Linked DNA regions of Lepisosteus oculatus. The protein of the gene in region 2 interacts with the protein of the main gene of each other region in a biochemical or structural test. Links are inferred from orthologs where the notes say so. Each region holds a gene or a part of one and is shown on either strand. Other genes may lie near its edges.

Evidence for each region.
Region 1: the proteins of mcm5 (region 2) and mcmbp form a complex in vitro, tested with the Homo sapiens proteins (2 studies listed by BioGRID). The link is inferred for Lepisosteus oculatus from reciprocal best matches to the Homo sapiens genes MCM5 and MCMBP.

Annotation. Positions count from the first base shown.
Region 1 is NC_090699.1:33,812,281-33,823,573, forward strand, and holds the start of mcmbp (mini-chromosome maintenance complex-binding protein), read right to left. Parts: upstream 4,704-11,293; 5' UTR 4,577-4,703; coding exon 4,519-4,576; intron 3,254-4,518; coding exon 3,171-3,253; intron 2,805-3,170; coding exon 2,664-2,804; intron 2,094-2,663; coding exon 2,052-2,093; intron 1,113-2,051; coding exon 1,010-1,112; intron 406-1,009; coding exon 277-405; intron 30-276; coding exon 1-29. Other genes in the region: sec23ip (SEC23-interacting protein), read left to right, coding at 6,370-6,496, 9,597-10,135. UniProt on the Homo sapiens protein: Associated component of the MCM complex that acts as a regulator of DNA replication.
Region 2 is NC_090707.1:39,634,730-39,646,686, forward strand, and holds the start of mcm5 (DNA replication licensing factor MCM5), read right to left. Parts: upstream 5,226-11,957; 5' UTR 5,115-5,225; coding exon 4,948-5,114; intron 4,720-4,947; coding exon 4,593-4,719; intron 4,454-4,592; coding exon 4,325-4,453; intron 3,246-4,324; coding exon 3,073-3,245; intron 2,994-3,072; coding exon 2,838-2,993; intron 2,762-2,837; coding exon 2,595-2,761; intron 747-2,594; coding exon 575-746; intron 490-574; coding exon 378-489; intron 292-377; coding exon 148-291; intron 68-147; coding exon 2-67; intron 1-1. Other genes in the region: gcat (2-amino-3-ketobutyrate coenzyme A ligase, mitochondrial), read right to left, coding at 7,387-7,538, 8,047-8,168, 8,498-8,669, 10,545-10,627, 10,716-10,870, 11,582-11,728, 11,829-11,930. UniProt on the Homo sapiens protein: Acts as a component of the MCM2-7 complex (MCM complex) which is the replicative helicase essential for 'once per cell cycle' DNA replication initiation and elongation in eukaryotic cells.

The DNA.
Region 1 (11,293 bases), on a different chromosome or scaffold from region 2:
GGTCTGGGATTCAGCAACCCCTGGCGGTCCTGAAAAGGGGGAAGCCAACTCCTTTAACCTTCTACCTAGGACAAACTGTGATTTGCTAGTTCCATTCTAACACTATAATGAGTAGACTTTGTTTCTAAATACCGAACAATTTCTGGGTGGACCGAAAAAAATTAGAACGAAGCAAAAGCTCTGAGCTCCAAGGTAACAGAGTCAAAATTACAATTCACGGCTATAAACAGAAGCCTTGCTCTTTGCCTTCTCTTTAGATGTAAGAGCTTGAGATACCTGAAAGCTGGTCTTTTTGTTTGGAAGGCTGCATGTCCATATCTTCGTCCTCCTCATAGCTGCGCTTGTGACGGCAGGGTGTGTAAGATGTTGAAGGACTGACACGGGCCTGACTTTCACAGGCGTAGGTGTGCACGACAAAGTTAAGATCAATTACAGTGCAAACCAGCCTAGCAGAGTCAGACCAGAGCCATCTAAATTACACAGAACGTGCGTGGCTAGTCTCTGAATCAACAAAGATTTTGCATGCTAACAGAAACATTCTAAATTGTTTTGCCACTCCTTAACCTCCAGCACACATTAACAACTTGAGTTTTGCTGTTGACTGACTCAAAACTATCAAGACTTGTGAATGTTCACACTGCTGAGTTCTCTCTTCTGCAGACTTTTACCATCCACAGAGCTTTAAAAAATACTGAATGAGTTTTAAATAAAAACATCTGAGTTGGCATATTACCTCTATCACAAGATTTATGCTTGTTACCCTTTCTTTCACGATTCTTTACAATTTTGAGACAACGCTTGGCAAGTAGTTGAAGCACCTACATTCTTTATCAAATGGACATTTCATTAGTTGATGTTTAAATGCTCTCCAACCGACTTTAAAATCTGTTCAGCAAATGAGTGGCAGACAGTTCTGATATTCTGGCTTTCTCAGATCCAAAAATGCCAAGTGTGATCAATCGGCAAATCTAACCCTATATCATATTTTCAAAAAACAAATGAAAGGATATCTCTTTCACCCAAGGGGACTCTCCAGGAATAGGCACACAATAGAAGGTTTGTCTCTCCAGAGTTACACTCTTGTTCGAGTTCAGGTCGACTTCCTGCTGAGGCTAAAAGCATTCAAATTAGAAAGAGAAGTTATCAGCTTTTTAACAGTGAGTACATTCTGGGATTAAATGCAGAGATAGCAATGTAGTTCTGCTGCCCCCTAATGGAAAACCGTATCCAGAATAACACTCTATTTACTCCCACATAGACACTCTTCAAACAAAATTGATGTAGGAAGAAACCCTGGTCCATGACTTAGCCTTTTTAATGAATAAATGGTCATATAAAAACACATCCATTAGAAACATCATAATCTTATGAACTTACATTTTTACCCTTGAAGGGTTCAGGCACATATTCATGGTACCTTTATAAAGCAAACAGTAACCAAAAGGTTTCTTAAAGATATGCCAAATGAAAGCCTTTTATTCATATTTTTTTATTCTTGAATTACTATTCTTAACTGTGACATTTTGTATATTTCATCTCAAACTAAACTACGTGAAGTTTATAAGACCTCCACACCCAAACCATGTGGTTGTGGCTAATGTGCATTGGTTTCTGATGGTTGGTGAAACCTTTTCACCGTTTAATATAGTCAGACTGGCCTCCAGCTGGTTGGGTCAGAGAGTTAGGCTCTCTCATCCATTTTACAGACCATGAACCTGCCTGTTAGCTTTGTACCAAGGTCTTTTGTTCTGTGACCTTCCTGAGGTCTGTCGTTATCAAGCAAGTTGCTCAGTTTAAACCTTGTTGTGTTTTACCAAAGTACGGTTGTCAGGGATTTCTCAGTCTTTTACAGGCTGCCAAAGTCCAGGGAGTAAAATGGCTTCCATCACGTGTAGCAGCACTGCATTCTCCTAACCACCTGATTCCATGGTGCAAACACATGCACTGCATTGATACAGAAACCGTCCTACACAGTGTCTGCTGGCCTAACCTGTTATTGCTGCAAGGCTCTACAGCTTAATATACATGTAGAAAAAAGGATCATCACTTACCCCACATTCTGCAATGTCTCTGTATTTTCCAAATCGCAACATCTGCAAGAAACAACAAGGCACCAGTTAAAATAGGAGTCGCTGTGTGATGGTCACATGGCAGAAAGCCATGCCGAAACAAAACAGCAGTTTTGCAAGTATCACGAATCATGTTTAAGTCTTAAGAGGCTGAAAAGCTATTTTCCTTACGAATCACAGCAGATGGATATATGCAAGTGAACGATGGTACAAAAGCACAGAGAAGATGGCAGAGCGATAGTCAACTATTGCCTGGCAGTCATCAATTAAGGAATGCAACAATTCTGATTGTGAATTCATCAAACCAAAAATACTCACAACTTCCAGTGTTAAAGACTGCTTTATTTTTATACGTAAGCAAATTACTCTGATGTTTTCATCCAGCATTTTATTTATTATAGTGACAACTATGAAGAGACCCGCAATCATGAAAGGAAAGAATTCCTCTCAGTAGCATTTCAGACTTGCCATCCTGTGAAACAGGATGCAGCGAACCAAACAAAAACCCCCCTTACGACAGTAATGTCCACAGCAGCCGCGAAGGGTGATGACACCAAACGATGGGAAGGCAGAAGAGACAGGCTGGGTACTCACTCGTTCTTTCGAAACGGGGTCAACGGTTTCGTACACTCCCATGTAGAACTCCGGATCAAACATGTCCTGCACCATACACCGGAACTTGACCAGACTGTCAGGCTTCAGGTAGTGTAGAGGAACATCATTTAAAGAAGGAACCTGGTAAAACAAAACAGCACTATTCATAGCTGTTAGGTTACACTTAACCTTATTAGTTAGTGTGTGATCCATTGGACTGTCCATTGCTTGTGGCAAGCACACATGGAACAACAGAGAAATTAACTACACGTCAGCATGTATGCATTTATTTACAATTCCACAGCATCAGCACAGTGCTGTATCCAACTAAGCGACACTCTATTATATTGGGTTATTATACCCAGGCAGCCCCAATACACATGCAGGATAAGTAGAAAAGCGAGCAAGTACAGTATGTACTGTAATAGTTACAATTATATATGGAGGTTTCAAATCTAAATATCATTGTTTTTGATCCTTTCGGTAAGAGGACAAACTCAGACTTACCCAGTTTGCTGCATCATTCACTTTTAGCTTCTCTTTAAAATACTCCACCACTTTCTTCTCCCATTCAGGATTGGGGGTCTGAGCTGCAAGAACGCGGAGAGTGAACTAGAGCACTGAACTAGATTGAGGAGAGGTGCACCGATTACCCATTCTGTTATAAGAGGTGCACCCATTCGTCTCGAAATGCAAAACTTGTGGAAAAATATTTAGTTAAGATTTTTGCTACCTGATGTAGTGGAAAACTCCTACCGCCCAAATATATAAATTGCTTTCAGTTAGGGGTTGCTTTTACATGGAATTGAGACTACTCATTAAACACAAACATCTGGGTTAATGAGCTGTGACCACCTTCAAAGAGTCATACTTTTTTAGTTGATCTATACTTAATACGTTAATGAAAAAGTAATGATCTAATTTACAGTACATTATTCTATCGTTAAAACGAAAAGTTAACAGTGATATTATACAAATCGAATAATTAACGTAAAAGTTGGAAAAGGGAGGGCGTTACAGGTTTCTTGTTTTTTTTTAAAACACGTATTTTTTTTATCTTATGCTATTAATTAAAAAATCTCAGTAGTTGCTCCGCGGTAGTACAGCGATCGGGGTAGATAAACTATCCCGATCCAAAGCGAGCACTTAATTCGTGCAATTAAATCAATTCAGTCATTTAGCTTTGCCAAATTCCTGCAACGAGGCTAAAATCCATGTCCGAAAGGGATTTTGTTTCTCGCACTCTATGACCGTGCTTCTCCGGATGAAATGCATCTAATCCCCTAGTTTCGATTTGCACTGTTTACACCACGCCTGAGGCTCAGAAGAGTCCAGCAACATGTGACAACAGTGAGTGGCGAACATGATCAAACATAGGAAGCCACACAACAGAAAGAAATAGTTATAGACAACATCCTGAGCATATATAGTTACTTTTTTAAACATCTATAAAATAGGCAAAATCAGATTCTCTATCCGCGGTTTAAATCTCTCTAGTACGGGTTAAAGCAACCAAAATTATCCTTTACCAACATCCAGCATCAGATCATATATCAGTAGATCTTGTTTCCTAGGTTCTTATAATATTGACATACTATAATATTGAAGAATGTACATTCGATTTCTGGACACATTTCGCGTACTGTGAAAGTTTAAGAAACAGGAACCATAACTTTTCCCGTGACTTTTTGACAGTAAACAAATTGTAGCACTACTTTCTGCGGTTGAAGATAGATATTAAACTACTGTTATATGACATAAACTCGGTATGTGAATAGGCTACATGCATTTCAAATTGGATCGCAATTTGCTGAGAAACTGCATAAAACGCATCGTTGCAAAAAGATCCACTTACCAAAAAATCCCTGCACAACGCTTAAAGGGCTGTTAATCCAATCTAGAGCAGAAGGCATCTTTGCTTGCTTTAAACTGTAGTTGATTGCTTGGAGCGCGAGAAAAGTAAATTTGAAAATACAATTCTTCACTACAGGAACCAGATTCAGAAACTCACGCAGCTCCAAGGGACAATTCACAATGGCGGGAAATTTACGTCACCAGAGATGAACCTCTGAACTTTGCCGCAAGTATTGCGTCAGAGACCTACTGAAACCGCTTTGACGCCATTTTTACTGTGGGCGTCTTCATGCTGGGAGAATTTAACTTTAACACATCTTTCTTTGTTTTCCACGTTGAACTTTCAACATTGTTTGAGCTCCTTGAACTATTTTCCCGTGATGAAATTTACTCCCAAATATAGAATGTTTAAACTGCCATACATTCATACATTTAAACCATTTGCTAAAGAAGATATAACTGTCCATAAATGCCTAAAGTGGGGACCTCTGCTTTTATTTCGAACATTCATCTGTTAGAATAATAAAAAAGCATTATATATGTTAGAGAATAGTACAATGATAAGGAAATTACCTTCCACAGCCTCACCATACTTAGGTGCTTTGAGGCTTTGAAGAAAAGAATTTGCCCTGTGTTAGCTTTATTTCTAGGGATATCAGGCATATAAATAGAATCCTTTTTGTTTTGAAAAGGTTGTCTTTTGAAAAGACAACCTGAAGAAGACTCTACAGCCGAAACAGTGTGTTTCTTTTCTTCTCTTTTCAGCATGGAATAAACCTTAACTTGTTCCTTTGCTGCCTATGCACTCTGCCACAGATGCCTTCTTGAATTATTTTTTTGTCAGTTGGAAGACAGATGTGCATTTGAGAAGATGACTGTGATTTCCATTACCATTTGATTTCCAATCAAAAGCACCAGAAAATGATTTAAAAAATGGAGAGAGGGGACTGCGCTGTGCATCTCAAACAACACCTCTTACAACCAACAGAAAAGTGCTACATAGCAAATAAAAGCTTGAGATATTTTTTTAGGAACACTGAGCTTTCCCTGAACAGCAACACTTAGTGCTTAGTGTTGCTCTTTCCTCGAATCGATAAGGGTCAGCTCTGTGTGAGGTAAAAGAGTCCATATACCATTTCCACACAACTTTGTAGGAGGTACAAAAACTGGCTTGTTACATAGTGAGACTAAAGGCCTGCCAGACAAATATGCTTTAGTCTTAAGAACAGGTGTTAGACCTGCTACAAAGAATTCTACAATAATAAACATCAACTGGCTGCCCACAGTTTATGGATAACCCCACAGCTTATGCATAGACCTGCTACAATACTGTCTGCAGTTTCAGGATTTTGGAATATCAGTTTCATGCAGTTATGTCGTATTGAAATTTGGTATGACTATATTCATATCACTAAAACCACTACAAATCAATACTTTATTTGATAAATAATGCTAAATCCTGTTATGCCATCCAATACCGGTCTAAAATTCTGTTTTATGAGGGAATTCCTATTTTTCTGAATTGTAATTATGTTATGCTTGCATTCATAATAATTATTAAGTGATAGTCTGTTAATTATACAATTTAATTAATAAAAGAAATGCAAAATGCCATTACAACCTTAACGTTTCCTGTTTAACAGTATATTTGATTTTTTTTTTGCAACTTTGCTTGTTAGCTGGTTTTGAACCATCTTCAGAGCTGTTGATTTCCATCTTGGTTACTGGCAAAGATACTAGTGGCAAGCTACTCAATGAGCGGATCAGCTGTGTGTGACGTACCTCGACCTTTTACCCCAGATCCGGTCCGTAGAACTGAAGCTGGTAGGATACGTGTAATTGATGTCTGAAAATGGCTGAGAAGAAGCAGAACAGCAGTTCCAGCACAAATCTGCTTTTCTCCACGGCTCCGGAGTTTAACTTCAGCGTACCGTTTATTCCTGTCAGTCAAGCCACCGCGCCTGCGGTGCTTTCGGGAGGTAATGTACCACAGACTGGAGAAGTAATCGGGTGCAGTATTATTAATCTAAATAGTCCGCCTATTCCTGCCTCTTTATTTAACCTGACGATTAAAAAACTGCCAGCTGTGCTTTTCAGTTGTTTCGAGTGAGCACAAAAATGCTGTTGTGGTTGTTTGAAGTTTTTATGCAGTTCGGTGCGAAAATCGTATTAGTGTCCCTGTTGATATCGTGAACAAGCAGGGTTATCAATTACGTTTCAGTTTTACGGTGTTCATTGATTACATTTGATTTTAAAAGACCAACACGCCAAGGCCACAACGCCGTTTCACTTTGAAGTGTGTTATAAAAGTAGATCTAAACTTTGATTTGCCTAAGTATTTTTTTAATTAATAACTTAACAATGTTGATCATCACCAACCGTCATGAATTACTGTAAATAGCTATGATCGATCGATACTCGATACGATTGTATTGATAGCGCTCTATTTACTTTCAAAATCCCAACATTTAAAGATATTTGTGTGTGTGAGGATAGACAGCTTTAAAATTCGCTACGTTTTAATTGGATCAAACTAGAAATATATTTTATTGCTATTAACGATCATGGCAAGGTCAGAATTAAATGAACTTTTTTGTTAGAAAACGAAAAATCTGTCAGTGTGACATTTAGAAGAGTGCCCGGCACAAAGATGAACTGGCCACCTCACCGACGTCGTGTTGGAGTAAACAGGCATTATGTAGTATAAGAGGGCGAGATTAGTTGTTGTCTCAGTTGTCATTATCATATCAGCAAGCATACAGTTAAGCTGTGATCAGCTAAGCTTCCTGCCTTTTAAATGTTATAATTGCATCCTCATTTGAGTATTTCTTTAATAAAGTGTACATTACACAATGGTTACAGATATATTTTCTGATTATGTGTTATCTTTAAAGCAGTGAAACTGAGTATTAAGTATGCTTTTTACTAGACGTGCCCTTATAGGTAACCATTTAATCAATTTATAAAGACCTGTAACAGTATAACTGTGAACCGCAAATAGGTGGTCTGTTAAATTAAGTCTTTCAGAGATCATTCTGGAAAATACATACTGTATACATATATTTGAAGAAATAGTTCAGGTGGGTAGCTGTGTCAGCATGCGTAGGCTGCAAAGGAACAAGTAATAGGTTTATTCCATGCTGAAAAGTGAAGAAAGAAAACACAACATTCTGGCCATTGAGCCTTCTTCGGGTGTGAGCAACCTCCTCATCCTCACACGGCTCCACGGTCGAAACATTGTGTTTTCTTTCTTCTCTTTTCAGCATGGAATTAACCTACTATTTGAAGAAATGCCCAGTGGTACAGAACAGGGAGGTTGCACCATATCAAAAGCTGCCAGCTTAAATTTACCCAAGATCTTTGTCACTAGGTCCTAATTTAGTGTGGGAAGCAACTTAGGTTGAGCCTAATTTTAGTATTTGTTCTGTTTTGTAGTTGTTTCTTTTCCTTTTTATGTTTTGTTGTCTTCAAACATGAACTTCCATGCTGAACACCATCTGTCGCTTGATAAGATTTTTTGCTGCATGAATTACTTTGAAGTCATAGCCAAGAACATTTCCAATTAACCGTTATATTTGGATCTGTAGCCCTGGCTGTAAAAGTATGAAGAGAATACCAGAGTGAGTGTTGCTGTTGAACTGATTACTACTGGTTAACATGCATGAACTCTGAGCATGGAGTGCCATGCATCTTTGTTAGTTATTATAAGAGGAGTATTTGTGTTTCTACAGCTTTTATTTATTATTTTGATATATTATTTTAGTTTTTCTGCAGGGACATGTATAGTTTAAAAATATACCAAGTAAAAATGCCTGATAGGCTGTTGGGATTCCTCAGGAAGTGGAATATTATCTTGCTACGTTCCACTTTCATTCCACTTTTAGGTTGCAAAACCTATGAATAAAGAAGTAAAATATTTTCAGATTCAGTCGTAATGACATCATAGTAAGCCTGCTGGTGCCATCTAACTGATGTCACAATAGCGATTCAGCAGCAGTGTCTCAGTCATAATCTAGTCAACAGCAAGCAGTCTTGCATTAAACTGGACTAGTTTTTAGACCTTTTACTCTCTCTAGCTATGTGTCCATTCTTTTCATAAAGAGGTGAGGAGGAATTATGAAATTTGATGCTTAATCGTAGTCTTTGGAAGCTTAAGCTTACAGATAATAGTATTATTGTGATTAAATGTGAAAAACATAGAAAGTAGTTTAGTGTGGCAAAAAAGAGTTGATTGGACAGAATGATAATCATTGTAACACATGGGCTCTTCAGCTGTGGGTCAGGATCCAAAGTAGGTGTAAATGCTGTTTTTGCGAGTTGAAGCAATGGATGGAGGTGGGTATGAAGCTCCATTTCCTGCTCATGTGTCATGTCCTGGCTTGTGCCCTGTCATCTAGCATGTGTGAGAGAATTGCAGTGTACTGCAACTCACAGAGGATTCCTTAATCAGCTCCTTGCAACAGTTTCCTACTGTATGTAACGCACCTTAAGGAGAGTGTACGAAATGATCATTCCAGAACAGCTAGATCAGAGGTCTAAACTTGGCAGTTCTGTTTTCTTGAAAAAGTTGACCTTTCCAAAATGTGAAAACAACCATAATTTCAGGTTATGGCTGTTTTTTTTTGTCTGGGCTTGGGTATGAATGTTGGAATTTCAATGGGCTAGTGAAGATCCCATGGCACTTTTCATGAGAGTAGTTGGGGTGTAAACCCTTTTGTTCTACCTAGACTTTGCTCCAGGCTTGCCTGTCTAATTGGGCCTGCATGAAGTTCACTGAGCAGGTGAAGGAGTTTCCCACTTCACCTGTTGTGCTGTGTAGAGGGTAGGGGTGGTGATGACTGTAGTGTATCATCCAGGTAGGTGCTACACTTCGTCGTGGATGAAGTAGGTCATCTCCTGTAATTCTATTTTGCCTTGTTGTCCTTGCTCGTCTGGAGAGTAAATTACACTTAAACTCTGGGATTTACTGAAAAGGTTTGGTGCAGGTTGGAGTATATTAGAACCTTGATTATGTAGCTCATTGGGCTTGCCAAGTCTGTGTTCTTGGCCTAATGTTTCTGTGCCTTTTCTTTTAAACAGAGGATTCAGCGGATGTCGGAGAAGAGGACAGTTTCCTTGGCCAGACATCAGAAAATGCAGACCACCCACCTACCTTCAGCTACTTTTCTAAATCCACAACCAGCAGTGATCCTTTTGCCTCGATAGGACAGCAGTGTGCTTCTCCAGCATCTTCGGCAGGGACAGTGACCTCAGTGAGGCCGGCTGTTTCTCTGCCTTCCGTCTGCCCAGGACAAAATGTGTACCCCACCACCTCGGCCTCTCCGTCAAACTTCGCTCAGCCCCCGGTTTCTCAGTTTGGAAATGCAGCTTTTCCGGGCCCTCAGGCAGGGTACACCCTACCGCCGAGCAGCGTAGCCCCACCTAGTGGACAGGCTCAGCCAGCGGGATACAACCCCTACCGCCACACTCCCTTGAGCAGCCGGGCCAACCCCTATCTGGCTCCACCCCAGCTGCAGCAAGGCCAGGCCCAGCAGCTTCAGCAGGCAGCTTTCCTGCAGGCTCCTCCTACTGCCCCGCCCTCTCAGACATTCCAGACTCCGCCTCCGCCGCCATCACAGGTGACTGCTTCGTCCAGTCTTTCATATTGTTGCACGAGCAAGGGACAGTCATTAGATCACTATGATATTAGGAGACATTACCTGTGACCTGGATAGCTCCAAAGATGTTGAAGGACTGTCAAGTCTACAGATCTGCCTGCATACAAGTGATGCATCTGTATTACAGTGCATAGATTAAAGTGCCTGCTGACGGGTTTCTATGCAGTATGCCATAAAATACTAGTTTTAATTAACTAAATACTACTTCTTTATTCATAGGTTTTTTAACCTAAAACGTAGCAAGATAATGTTTCACTTCCTGGGGAATCCCAACAGCCTATGAGTTATTTTTACGTGGTTTATTTTTAAACTATACATGTCCCTGCAGGAAAAAAATGTACAATTAAAGTAATATATCAAAATCAAATATATCAAAAAAGCTTCAGTCTTCTTATATCGTTGCATCTTTGTACTGCTTTAGCTCATTCCTTGTTTTTTTGCAAAATGACTAAACTCCAGTTTATTGGAACTGAACGAGGTAAACTAGTTTAAATCAGATTAACTAGGCTTATATAGTAGTGCTGAACGTGACTTGAAGGGCTTATTGCTGACATAATACCATATCCTGTCCTGTGTGCTTGATGACTGAAATTGTTTTTCTTATTTTTTAATGTTTTTGTAGTATTATTATATTATCTCTCAACTGGGTCTGTCTAAACTATCCCCTTAATTGGTGAAGTAACGTTTTTTTTTACTTCTCCACCTGATTCAATGTGTAGTGGGGCCCCTGTGTATCACGCAGATCATGTCAGTGGCTGATGAAATGGGTGCCCCCCGTTGATAAAGTGCTTAGAGACCCAGTGGGATGAAATGCAATACGAATGCAAGGAATTGATTTTATTTTAGCGGCAATAGGCAGATAACAACACACAAAATGGGATCATGCAGTTTGCTAACATTAGGTTATTTTGTTGTGTGTCAGTGTTTGCTTTTCCCTCATGACTTTTGCTTTGAAACCACTTTGATTCTGTTTTAGAAATGTGTATTGTGAAATTTGAAGGATTTACATTCTCAATTTTTTTTATAGTCAAGGACAAAATATATAGAATTCATACCATAAAAATACCAGAAGGCTTTCTTTTTATATACTGTATGTTAGGGCTTATTTTTCAAAGTTGT
Region 2 (11,957 bases):
CCTTGGCGATGGAGATGGTCTGCTGCTCCATAGCCTCATGAATGGCCACTCGATCGTCCTCCCTCATCTGCAAGAGCAGAGACAAGAGGGTCAGAGCCGCAGCTGCAGGAGAGACAGAGCCGAACCCACGCGGGCATGACCTCTGACCTTGTCGAACTCATCGATGCAGACCACGCCCCCGTCCGCCAGCACCATGGCGCCGCCCTCCATGACGAAGCTGCGCGAGACGGGGTCGCGCATGACGGAGGCGGTCAGGCCTGCCGCGCTGCTGCCCTTGCCCGAGGTGTAGACCTGCGGGGGAGAGAGACAGGGCGTCACCCCCGAGAGAGAGACAGAGACGGGGCGCAGCGGGGCGCACAGGCGGACACAGGCCATACCCCAATAGGAGAGCAGCGCTCCACAAACTTCAGCAGCTGGGACTTGGCCGTCCCAGGGTCCCCCAGCATCAGGAGATTGATGTCGCCCCGGCGAGTCAGGCCGTCCGGGAGCCTGGGGAGAGAGAGGGGTTCACACACCGGCCCGCACTGACAGCACTTCTGTTTAACGAACACGCTGCAGCTCATCAAGACTTCACCTTTTCCGGGACCCGCCAAACAGCAGGCACGCGATGGCTTTCTTCAGGTCCTGACTCCCGTAGATAGAGGGCGCTATACTGCGCGCCACAGACTCATACACACCAGGGGAGGCCGCCAGCGCGCGGAGCTCTTCCTCCTCCTGGGGAGAGACGGTGCCCACAGCACTGCGGCCTGGAGGTCACACACAGACACAGGACAGGGTGAGAGAGGGGCAGAGCGCCCCACTGTGGCCTGGAGGTCACACACAGACACAGGACAGGGTGAGAGAGGGGCAGAGCGCCTCACTGTGGCCTGGAGGTCACACAGCAGCAGACAGGACAGATGAGAGAGGAGCAGAGCGCCCCACTGTGGCCTGGAGGTCACACAGCAGCAGACAGGACAGATGAGAGAGGAGCAGAGCGCCCCACTGTGGCCTGGAGGTCACACAGCAGCAGACAGGACAGATGAGAGAGGAGCAGAGCGCCTCACTGTGGCCTGGAGGTCACACAGCAGCAGACAGGACAGGGTGAGAGAGGAGCAGAGCGCCCCACTGTGGCCTGGAGGTCACACACAGACACAGGACAGGGTGAGAGAGGGGCAGAGCGCCTCACTGTGGCCTGGAGGTCACACACAGACACAGGACAGGGTGAGAGAGGAGCAGAGGTCCTCACTGTGGCCTGGAGGTCACACAGCAGCAGACAGGACAGGGTGAGAGAGGAGCAGAGCGCCTCACTGTGGCCTGGAGGTCACACAGCAGCAGACAGGACAGATGAGAGAGGAGCAGAGCGCCTCACTGTGGCCTGGAGGTCACACACAGACACAGGACAGATGAGAGAGGAACAGAGCGCCTCACTGTGGCCTGGAGGTCACACAGCAGACAGGACAGATGAGAGAGGGGCAGAGCGCCTCACTGTGGCCTGGAAGTCACACAGCAGCAGACAGGACAGATGAGAGAGGGGCAGAGCGCCTCACTGGCCTGGAGGTCACACAGCAGCAGACAGGACAGATGAGAGAGGAGCAGAGCGCCTCACTGTGGCCTGGAGGTCACACACAGACACAGGACAGATGAGAGAGGAGCAGAGCGCCTCACTGTGGCCTGGAGGTCACACACAGACACAGGACAGATGAGAGAGGAGCAGAGGTCCTCACTGTGGCCTGGAGGTCACACAGCAGCAGACAGGACAGATGAGAGAGGAGCAGAGCGCCTCACTGTGGCCTGGAGGTCACACAGCAGCAGACAGGACAGATGAGAGAGGAGCAGAGCGCCCCACTGTGGCCTGGAGGTCACACAGCAGCTGACAGGACAGATGAGAGAGGAGCAGAGCGCCCCACTGTGGCCTGGAGGTCACACAGCAGCAGACAGGACAGGGTGAGAGAGGAGCAGAGCGCCTCACTGTGGCCTAGAGGTCACAGCAGCAGACAGGACAGATGAGAGAGGAGCAGAGCGCCTCACTGTGGCCTGGAGGTCACACAGCAGCAGACAGGACAGGGTGAGAGAGGAGCAGAGCGCCTCACTGTGGCCTAGAGGTCACAGCAGCAGACAGGACAGATGAGAGAGGAGCAGAGCGCCTCACTGTGGCCTGGAGGTCACACACAGACACAGGACAGATGAGAGAGGAGCAGAGCGCCCCACTGTGGCCTGGAGGTCACACAGCAGCAGACAGGACAGGGTGAGAGAGGAGCAGAGCGCCCCACTGTGGCCTGGAGGTCACACAGCAGCAGACAGGACAGGGTGAGAGAGGAGCAGACCGCCTCACTGTGGCCTGGAGGTCACAGCAGCAGACAGGACAGATGAGAGAGGAGCAGAGCGCCTCACTGTGGCCTGGAGGTCACACACAGACACAGGACAGATGAGAGAGGAGCAGAGCGCCTCACTGTGGCCTGGAGGTCACACAGCAGCAGACAGGACAGATGAGAGAGGAGCAGAGCGCCTCACTGTGGCCTGGAGGTCACACAGCAGCAGACAGGACAGATGAGAGAGGAGCAGAGCGCCTCACTGTGGCCTGGAGGTCACACAGCAGGTCTCTGGGGTCCCCTCACCTGCGCCCTCAGTGTCCACCTGGATGCCCACGACCCTCAGGTAGGAGGAGCGGAGGCCGACCCCGGCGCGGTCCCGCCCCTTGCTGCTGGTCTTGCCGGCCTTGCGGATGGAGTAGATGCCCATCACGGTCACGCGGTTCCCCGGCACGACGCGGTCGCAGAGGTACCTGCGCGGACAGGCAGGTGTCAGGCTCGCGGCCCCCGGCCCCCCGGCCCCCCGCCCCCCCAGGGCACGGCCCCCACCTGTCGCAGTACAGCTGCAGGTGCCGGGGCATCTCTCCGTGCGGCACGGCGTCGGGCGCCTCCTGCAGCTTGAGCGTCTGGTAGTCCACGCACACGCACTTGTCCGGCACGATGAAGTACGGGTCGACCGGGCACTTGACCCGGCCCGGCTGCTCCCTGCGGACACGGGGACGGGGTGAGAGGGGGGAGAGGCAGAGGCCGGCAGGAGCGAGCCCGGGCCGCGCGGGGGACTCACGTGTTGCACTTGCGCGGCAGGCTGTAGCCCTCCAGCCCCGGGCGCACGGCGATGTTGGACATCACAGAGCGACACCCGCGGCACTGCAGCGCCATGCGCACCGCCTTCGCCCGCACCGCTGAGGACGACACCACGATCCCTGGGATCTTCACCAGCCGGCACACCTGCTCCGACTGCAGAGAGACACCGGTTAATACACACTCCTCCTGCACACTACTGCACACTCCTGCACACTACTGCACACTACTGCACACTACTGCACACTACTGCACACTACTGCACACTACTGCACACTGACACTGCAGTGAGAGAGAGAGGGGTTAATACACACACTCCTCCTGCACACTACTGTACACTGACACTGCACTGAGAGAGAGGGGTTAATACACACACTCCTCCTGCACACTACTGCACACTGACACTGCACTGAGAGAGAGAGGGGTTAATACACACACTCCTCCTGCACACTACTGTACACTGACACTGCACTGAGAGAGAGAGGGGTTAATACACACACTCCTCCTGCACACCACTGTACACTGACACTGCACTGAGAGAGAGAGAGGGGTTAATACACACACTCCTCCTGCACAGTACTGTAAACTGACACTGCACTGAGAGAGAGAGGGGTTAATACACACTCCTCCTGCACACTACTCTACACTGACACTGCACTGAGAGAGAGAGGGGTTAATACACACACTCCTCCTGCACACTACTGTACACTGACACTGCACTGAGAGAGAGAGAGGTTAATACACACTCCTCCTGCACACTCCTGTACACTCACACTGCACTGAGAGAGAGAAGGGTTAATACACACACTCCTCCTGCACACTACTGTACACTGACACTGCACTGAGAGAGAGAGGGGTTAATACACACACTCCTCCTGCACACTACTGTACACTGACACTGCACTGAGAGAGAGGGGTTAATACACACACTCCTCCTGCACACTACTGTACACTGACACTGCACTGAGAGAGAGAGGGGTTAATACACACACTCCTCCTGCACACTACTGTACACTGACACTGCACTGAGAGAGAGGGGTTAATACACACACTCCTCCTGTACACTACTGTACACTGACACTGCACTGAGAGAGAGAGAGGGGTTAATACACACACCCCTCCTGCACACTACTGTACACTGACACTGCACTGAGAGAGAGGGGTTAATACACACACTCCTCCTGCACACTACTGTACACTGACACTGCACTGAGAGAGAGGGGTTAATACTGTACCTTCAGGCTGCGGATGTTGGCCGGGTTGCTGTCTGACTTCAGCATGACCTGCACCTCCTGTACTGCCTCCTCCTCAACGGGGCGGGGCCTCGTCACCTCATCAGCCACTTCCTGCGCGGCCTCTTCCAGCTGTGATTGGACAGAGCAAAGCAGCACGTGTGTCACTCAGGTCGTGGAGCATGTCCTTACACCGAGAGCGGCGGGAGAGGGGAACAGAGCTTGCAGTCAGGTGCCTGCGGAGGTTGTACAGTTGGCGCTAGAGACTCACCAGAGGCAGGTGCTCAGTGGGCTGTTTGTAGATGCAGTCAGCCAGGTCCTCATCAAAACTGGACAAGTCCTCCATCTCAACCTCCACCCAGTACTGCCCCAGCGTGTAGCGCCGCTTCAGCTCATCCCTGGACACACAACAGCACAACCCCATCATCACAACACCCACAGTCCAGCCAGGACACACAACATCATCACAACACCCAGTACTGCCCCAGCGTGTAGCGCCGCTTCAGCTCATCCCTGGACACACAACAGCACAACCCCTTTAAAAGCTCACACACCGCTACACAATTACAGGGATCCTCAGTTTGATTAACTACTACACCGTTAAGTGGCCTTAGTCTGGGTCCGACCTGTATTTGAAGGTGAACCCGGTCCGGTCGGTTCCGACTCGAAACTGCCGCAAAAACTCCTTAAAGCGCTTCTTCACTTGGGTCCGCTTCACTGTGCCTTCGTCCCCCTGGGAGTCTCCCCCGAAGCTGTCGCTGTAGAAGATGCCCGGATCATCGAAGCCCGACATTTTGTTCTGCTTCTGTCACCTCCCGTATGAGCAGAAAGAAGCGCAACCGCTCAGTCCAGGACAATGAGCTGCACCACGCCGCGCTTTCGCGGCAAAACCGAAGGGGCGTTACTGCCCGTTTCCCTGGTGACGCGCCGGGGCTCCGAGCCTCCTGCCCCTTCTGATTGGCTTGGGCTCGCAGAGGCCGCACTCGATTGGCTGAAGCGCTTCCCCGGCTCGCTCCTCCCCCTCTCCACTTTTCGCGGGAATCTCCGGGGGGGACGCCCACTGCGTTGTGGGAGAGGTTTCCGATTGGGTGAGAGGGTTGTCCGACCCCGCCCCCTCCGCCTGTGTGGTTTCTGCTGGCGGGAAAGCGAGACCTGTTTGCTGTGGACATGATGGCGGCTGTCGTGACAAGGAGAAGTCTGTGAATGTTTCTCTGCAATCGGCCTTGCCAATACAGCCCTTTGAATCTGACAGTTGTGAGCAGCGGTGGGAGATATTAGATTGTGTTACAGGCTTTTTATCCACACTGGCTTCATTAGAGGCACGGACGGCCAGGCCAGTAAATACATTTTCTTTTCAGAAGATCGTTAGGACGCATTGGAGTTGACCCGGTCCGTGAAGGTGCAGTGGTCCTTCAGCTGGTGTGTGGGGCGCGGACTGGCGCACTCTGGCTGCACACTGCGGGGGGTGGAGGGGATCCCCAGGACCTGGAAACCGCTTTGAGCAGAGTGTCCTGAAGAGCGCACATTTTTTTCTCATGTCAACATTCAACAACTGTCTGGCCCTCGGTTTGTTCTTGGCTATACAATAGTAATATTCGCGCACATCTCACTTTTAAAGATACTGTTCTCGGAGTCTCGAATCCAAACAAAGATGTCCGTATAATGGTAAATGTTATTCTCTTGTTTGCAAAGGTTTACATACACTCGTGTAGAGTAAAAAAGAATCCTATAAGCTTTAGAGAATTTTCTATCTCATTCACGCTATACTCTAAGTCACTGAAAATATTACAAAATAAGCCTGGTGAGTTGGTCTACAAAAGGCTCTTGGCATATAAACGTATTTAATGTAACCCCTAACACCACATGACCTCTGTACTGGGAACAGTGTTTTTCCCCGTTTCATTCACTCGTTGCTACCTTGTTGTGCCATGTTGAGACATTAGATATTTGTATGTTTATACCCGTTTGTTGTGTTTTCCTTTTGTATTTAAATAAAAACACGGACGTCTGACGTCACGCCGGAAGCGCGCATATCCCACAACGCCCCGCGCTCACTGTAGGCGTCACAAGGCCCGGAAGAGGGGGCGCACGTGAGCGGAGTCCATCCGGTCCGCCTGTGCAATAGCTCTTACCCCGGTTTTAATTAATCCGACCCAGGGTGTCGCTGAAACCGGCCGGGCCGTCTGTTCTAAAACCCACAACCCTCCGTGTAAAGGATATTACAGTAATCTTTATTGATGCGTTTTACAACAGAAATACTTTTCAATTTATAATTCCTAAACCTTAGGAATGGTAAAGCCCTTCCTCCGGTTGTAAGAGAACTTTTTAACCCTCTTCAGATCCGAGCTCAGAATCGTCTGCCCTTATTCTGTGTGAACCTGTATGCTATTTTTAATTCAGTTTTTTTTACTGGACTCTTTATTACTATGTACAGCGTCCTTGGGCTTGGACAGGTGCTTTGTAAATAAAGGTGGTTGTTATTATTATTATTATTATTATCATCTCTAGATCAATAGACTAGCAGTGAGGCGCCCTCTGGTGGTCACAGCAGGGAAGTGTTACTCACCCTACAGGAGAGAGACTCGGCTCAGCTCTCTCACTGCTGGGGGTCAGATCGCTACTTTTAAAGATACTTGTGCGGGATAATGGGCACACCTTAATGACAGGCAGGCACTTAGCAGTATCAGAGACAGGCACATCCAGGCAGCAGGGACAGAATAGCGAGAAATACCCTAAACGACCACCAGAAGGCACAACGGGCACAACAAACCACAGAGCTCTGATCCGCTCCGGGGTTTACAGCGCACAGAGCTCTGATCCGCTCCGGGGTTTACAGCGCAGAGAGCTCTGATCCGCTCCGGGGTTTACGGCGGATTCTCTCCAACAGCAGGGACAGCAAAGGGACAACAGCTCTCCAAAACACTTTTATTGACAGAAACTGTGTCCCCACCCACCTGCCCACCACAGACCCCCTGCTCGCCCACAGACCCCCCCGCTCCCACAAAGATGCACAAACAGCCGCACGCCGACTGCTCTCCGCGGGGATCGGGGGCGCACCAGCGGAGCTAGGACACGACGCCATGCCTGCGCCCCACCTCCACAAAGGCAGCGACGCAGCTGTCGATGTCATCATCACTGTGCGCCGCTGAGATCTGGACCCGGATCCGAGCCTTCCCCTTCGGAACCACAGGATAGCTGAATCCGATCACGTAGATCCCTGGTGGAGAGAAAGGAGTTGATCCGCAGGCAGCCGGCACAGTCAGACTGTGACTGTGCACCTGGTCAGGGGCTGGAACAGTCAGACACAGGGGTGTCAGGGGCTGGAACAGTCAGACAGAGGGGTTTCAGGGGCTGGTACAGTCAGACACAGGGGTGTCAGGGGCTGGTACAGTCAGACAGAGGGGTTTCAGGGGCTGGAACAGTCACAGGGGGGTGTCAGGGGCTGGTACAGTCAGACAGAGGGGTGTCAGGGGCTGGAACAGTCAGACACAGGGGTGTCAGGGGCTGGTACAGTCAGACACAGGGGTGTCAGGGGCTGGAACAGTCAGACACAGGGGTGTCAGGGGCTGGTACAGTCAGACAGAGGGGTTTCAGGGGCTGGAACAGTCACAGGGGGGTGTCAGGGGCTGGTACAGTCAGACAGAGGGGTGCCAGGGGCTGGAACAGTCGGACACAGGGGTGCCAGGGGCTGGAACAGTCGGACACAGGGGTGCCAGGGCTCCCACCTTTCTTTAGAAGGTCATCAGCCATGAGGGAGGCCAGACGGGCATCACCCAGCATGACGGGGCAGATGGGATGATCTGACCCCGAAATTGCGAACCCCGCTTCTGTCATCGCCACCCGGAACCTGAGACAGAGGAGCAGGTTAACACTCTGTCCCTCACACACACACACACTCACACTCACATACACTCCCTCACACACACACACACACACTCACACTCACATACACTCCCTCACACACACTCTCTCACAGACACCCACACTCACACTCCCTCTCACACACTGTCCCTCACACTCCCTCCCTCCCTCCCTCACACTCACACACTGTCCCTCACACTCACACACACTCACACTCACATACACTCCCTCACACACACTCTCTCACAGACACCCACACTCACACTCCCTCCCTCCCTCACACTCACACACACTCACACTGACCCCCCTGCTGACCTCCTGGTCTTGTCCGCCATGCTCTGTGCGATCTGGCTGGAGGCCGTGAGCAGGTCCAGGGCCTTGCTGGCGCAGCCCACCACAGCCGGGGGCAGCGTGTTGGAGAAGAGGTACGGCCTGGAGCGCTGGCGCAGGAGCTCCACCAGGGACCGCGGGCCCACGGTATAACCCCCTGTCCAGAGAGGACCGGGTCACTGGACACAGCCTGGACACAGCCCGGCCAGAGAGGACCGGCTCACTCACAGCCCGGCCAGAGAGGACCGGCTCACTGGACACAGCCCGGCCAGAGAGGACCGGGTCACTGGACACAGCCTGGACACAGCCCGGCCAGAGAGGACCGGCTCACTGGACACAGCCTGGACACAGCCCGGCCAGAGAGGACCGGCTCACTGAGCACAGCCTGGACACAGCCCGGCCAGAGAGGACCGGCTCACTGGACACAGCCTGGACACAGCCCGGCCAGAGAGGACCGGCTCACTGAGCACAGCCTGGACACAGCCCGGCCAGAGAGGACTGGCTCACTGGACACAGCCTGGACACAGCCCGGCCAGAGAGGACCGGCTCACTGAGCACAGCCCGGCCAGAGAGGACCGGCTCACTGAGCACAGCCTGGCCAGAGAGGACCGGCTCACTGGACACAGCCTGGACACAGCCCGGCCAGAGAGGACCGGCTCACTGGACACAGCCTGGCCAGAGAGGACCGGCTCACTGAGCACAGCCTGGACACAGCCCGGCCAGAGAGGACCGGCTCACTGGACACAGCCTGGACACAGCCCGGCCAGAGAGGACCGGCTCACTCACAGCCCGGCCAGAGAGGACCGGCTCACTGAGCACAGCCTGGCCAGAGAGGACCGGCTCACTGGACACAGCCTGGACACAGCCCGGCCAGAGAGGACCGGCTCACTGAGCACAGCCCGGCCAGAGAGGACCGGCTCACTGAGCACAGCCCGGCCAGAGAGGACCGGCTCACTGGACACAGCCTGGACACAGCCCGGCCAGAGAGGACCGGCTCACTGAGCACAGCCTGGCCAGAGAGGACCGGCTCACTGAGCACAGCCTGGCCAGAGAGGACCGGCTCACTGGACACAGCCTGGACACAGCCCGGCCAGAGAGGACCGGCTCACTGAGCACAGCCCGGCCAGAGAGGACCGGCTCACTGAGCACAGCCTGGACACAGCCCGGCCAGAGAGGACCGGCTCACTGGACACAGCCTGGCCAGAGAAGACCGGCTCACTGAGCACAGCCTGGACACAGCCTGGCCAGAGAGGACCGGCTCACTGAGCACAGCCCGGCCAGAGAGGACCGGCTCACTGGACACAGCCTGGACACAGCCCGGCCAGAGAGGACCGGCTCACTGAGCACAGCCCGGCCAGAGAGGACCGGCTCACTGGACACAGCCTGGACACAGCCCGGCCAGAGAGGACAGGCTCACTGAGCACAGCCTGGCCAGAGAGGACCAGGTCACTGACCACAGCCTGGACACAGCCTGGCCAGAGAGGACCGGCTCACTGAGCACAGCCCGGCCAGAGAGGACCGGCTCACTGGACACAGCCCGGCCAGAGAGGACCGGCTCACTGGACACAGCCTGGACACAGCCTGGCCAGAGAGGACCGGCTCACTGAGCACAGCCTGGACACAGCCTGGCCAGAGAGGACCGGGTCACTGAGCACAGCCTGGACACAGCCCGGCCAGAGAGGACCGGCTCACTGAGCACAGCCTGGACACAGCCCGGCCAGAGAGGACCGGCTCACTGAGCACAGCCTGGACACACCCTGGCCAGAGAGGACGGGGTCACTGAGCACAGCCTGGCCAGAGACACTGGACACAGACAGACCTGGCTGTCCAGAGAGGACAGGCTCAGTGACCACAGCCTGGACAGAGACACTGGACACAGACTGACCTGGCTGTCCAGAGAGGATAGGCTCAGTGACCACAGCCTGGCCAGAGACACTGGACACAGGCAGACCTGGCTGTCCAGAGAGGACAGGCTCAGTGACCACAGCCTGGCCAGAGAAACTGGACACAGACAGACAGGGAGGGGTCTCACCAGCAGCGCCCCCAAGAGCCTTGCCCAGCGTGGAGTTGACAATGTGAACTCGGTCCATCACCCCCAGCAGCTCGTCGGTGCCCCTGCAGGACAGGAGGGGAACAGCATGAGCCCGGTCACAGCCGGGGGGACGTCGGGGGGACACTGGGGGGACACCCCACTCGCCCTCACCGTCCGCGCGGCCCCAGGAATCCGGTGGCGTGGCACTCATCGATGAAGACCAGCGCCCCATATCTCTCCGCCAGGTCACACACCCCCCGCAGGGGAGCCACATCCCCGTCCATTGAGAACACCCCATCTGTGGCGATGAGCCGGAGCCTGTGTTTCTACAGAGAGAGAGGGGTTAGTACACACTCCTGCACACTGAGGGGTTAATACACACACTCCTCCTGCACACTACTGTACACTGACACTGCACTGAGAGAGAGAGAGGGGTTAATACACAAACTCCTCCTGCACACTACTGTACACTGACACTGCACTGAGAGAGAGAGAGGGGTTAATACACACACTCCTCCTGCACACTACTGTACACTGACACTGCACTGAGAGAGAGGGGTTAATACACACACTCCTCCTGCACACTACTGTACACTGACACTGCACTGAGAGAGAGGGGTTAATACACACACTCCTCCTGCACACTACTGTACACTGACACTGCACTGAGAGAGAGAGAGGGGTTAATACACACACTCCTCCTGCACACTACTGTACACTGACACTGCACTGAGAGAGAGAGGGGTTAATACACACACTCCTCCTGCACACTACTGTACACTGACACTGCACTGAGAGAGAGAGATGGGTTAATACACACACTCCTCCTGCACACTACTGTACACTGACACTGCACTGAGAGAGAGAGATGGGTTAATACACACACTCCTCCTGCACACTACTGTACACTGACACTGCACTGAGAGAGAGGGGTTAATACACACACTCCTGCACACTGAGGGGTTAATACACACACTCCTCCTGCACACTGACACACTACCATACTGTATGCAGTACAGCTGGATGTGGATCAGTACCTGGGCAGCTTTCAGCTTGTCCTCCAGGTCGTTGAGGTCAAGGTGCCGGTACCGGTACTTGTGGGCCTTGCAGAGGCGAATCCCATCGATGATGGACGCGTGATTGAGCTCATCCGACAGCACGGCGTCGTCCGGAGTGAGCAGGACCTGACAGGCAGGACAGGACACAGGGAAACTCCGGAGTGTGAGAGACAGTATGAAGAGAGAGTGAGAGAGTGAGTGTGAGGGTGAGAGAGAGTGTCTGTACCTCGAAGATTCCTGCGTTGGCATCGAAGCAGCTGGCGTACAGGATCGCATCCTCTCTCTCGTGGAACTGAGCCAACTTCCTCTCCAGAGACTTGTGCAGATCCTGAGTGAGCAGAGACACCGATGACCG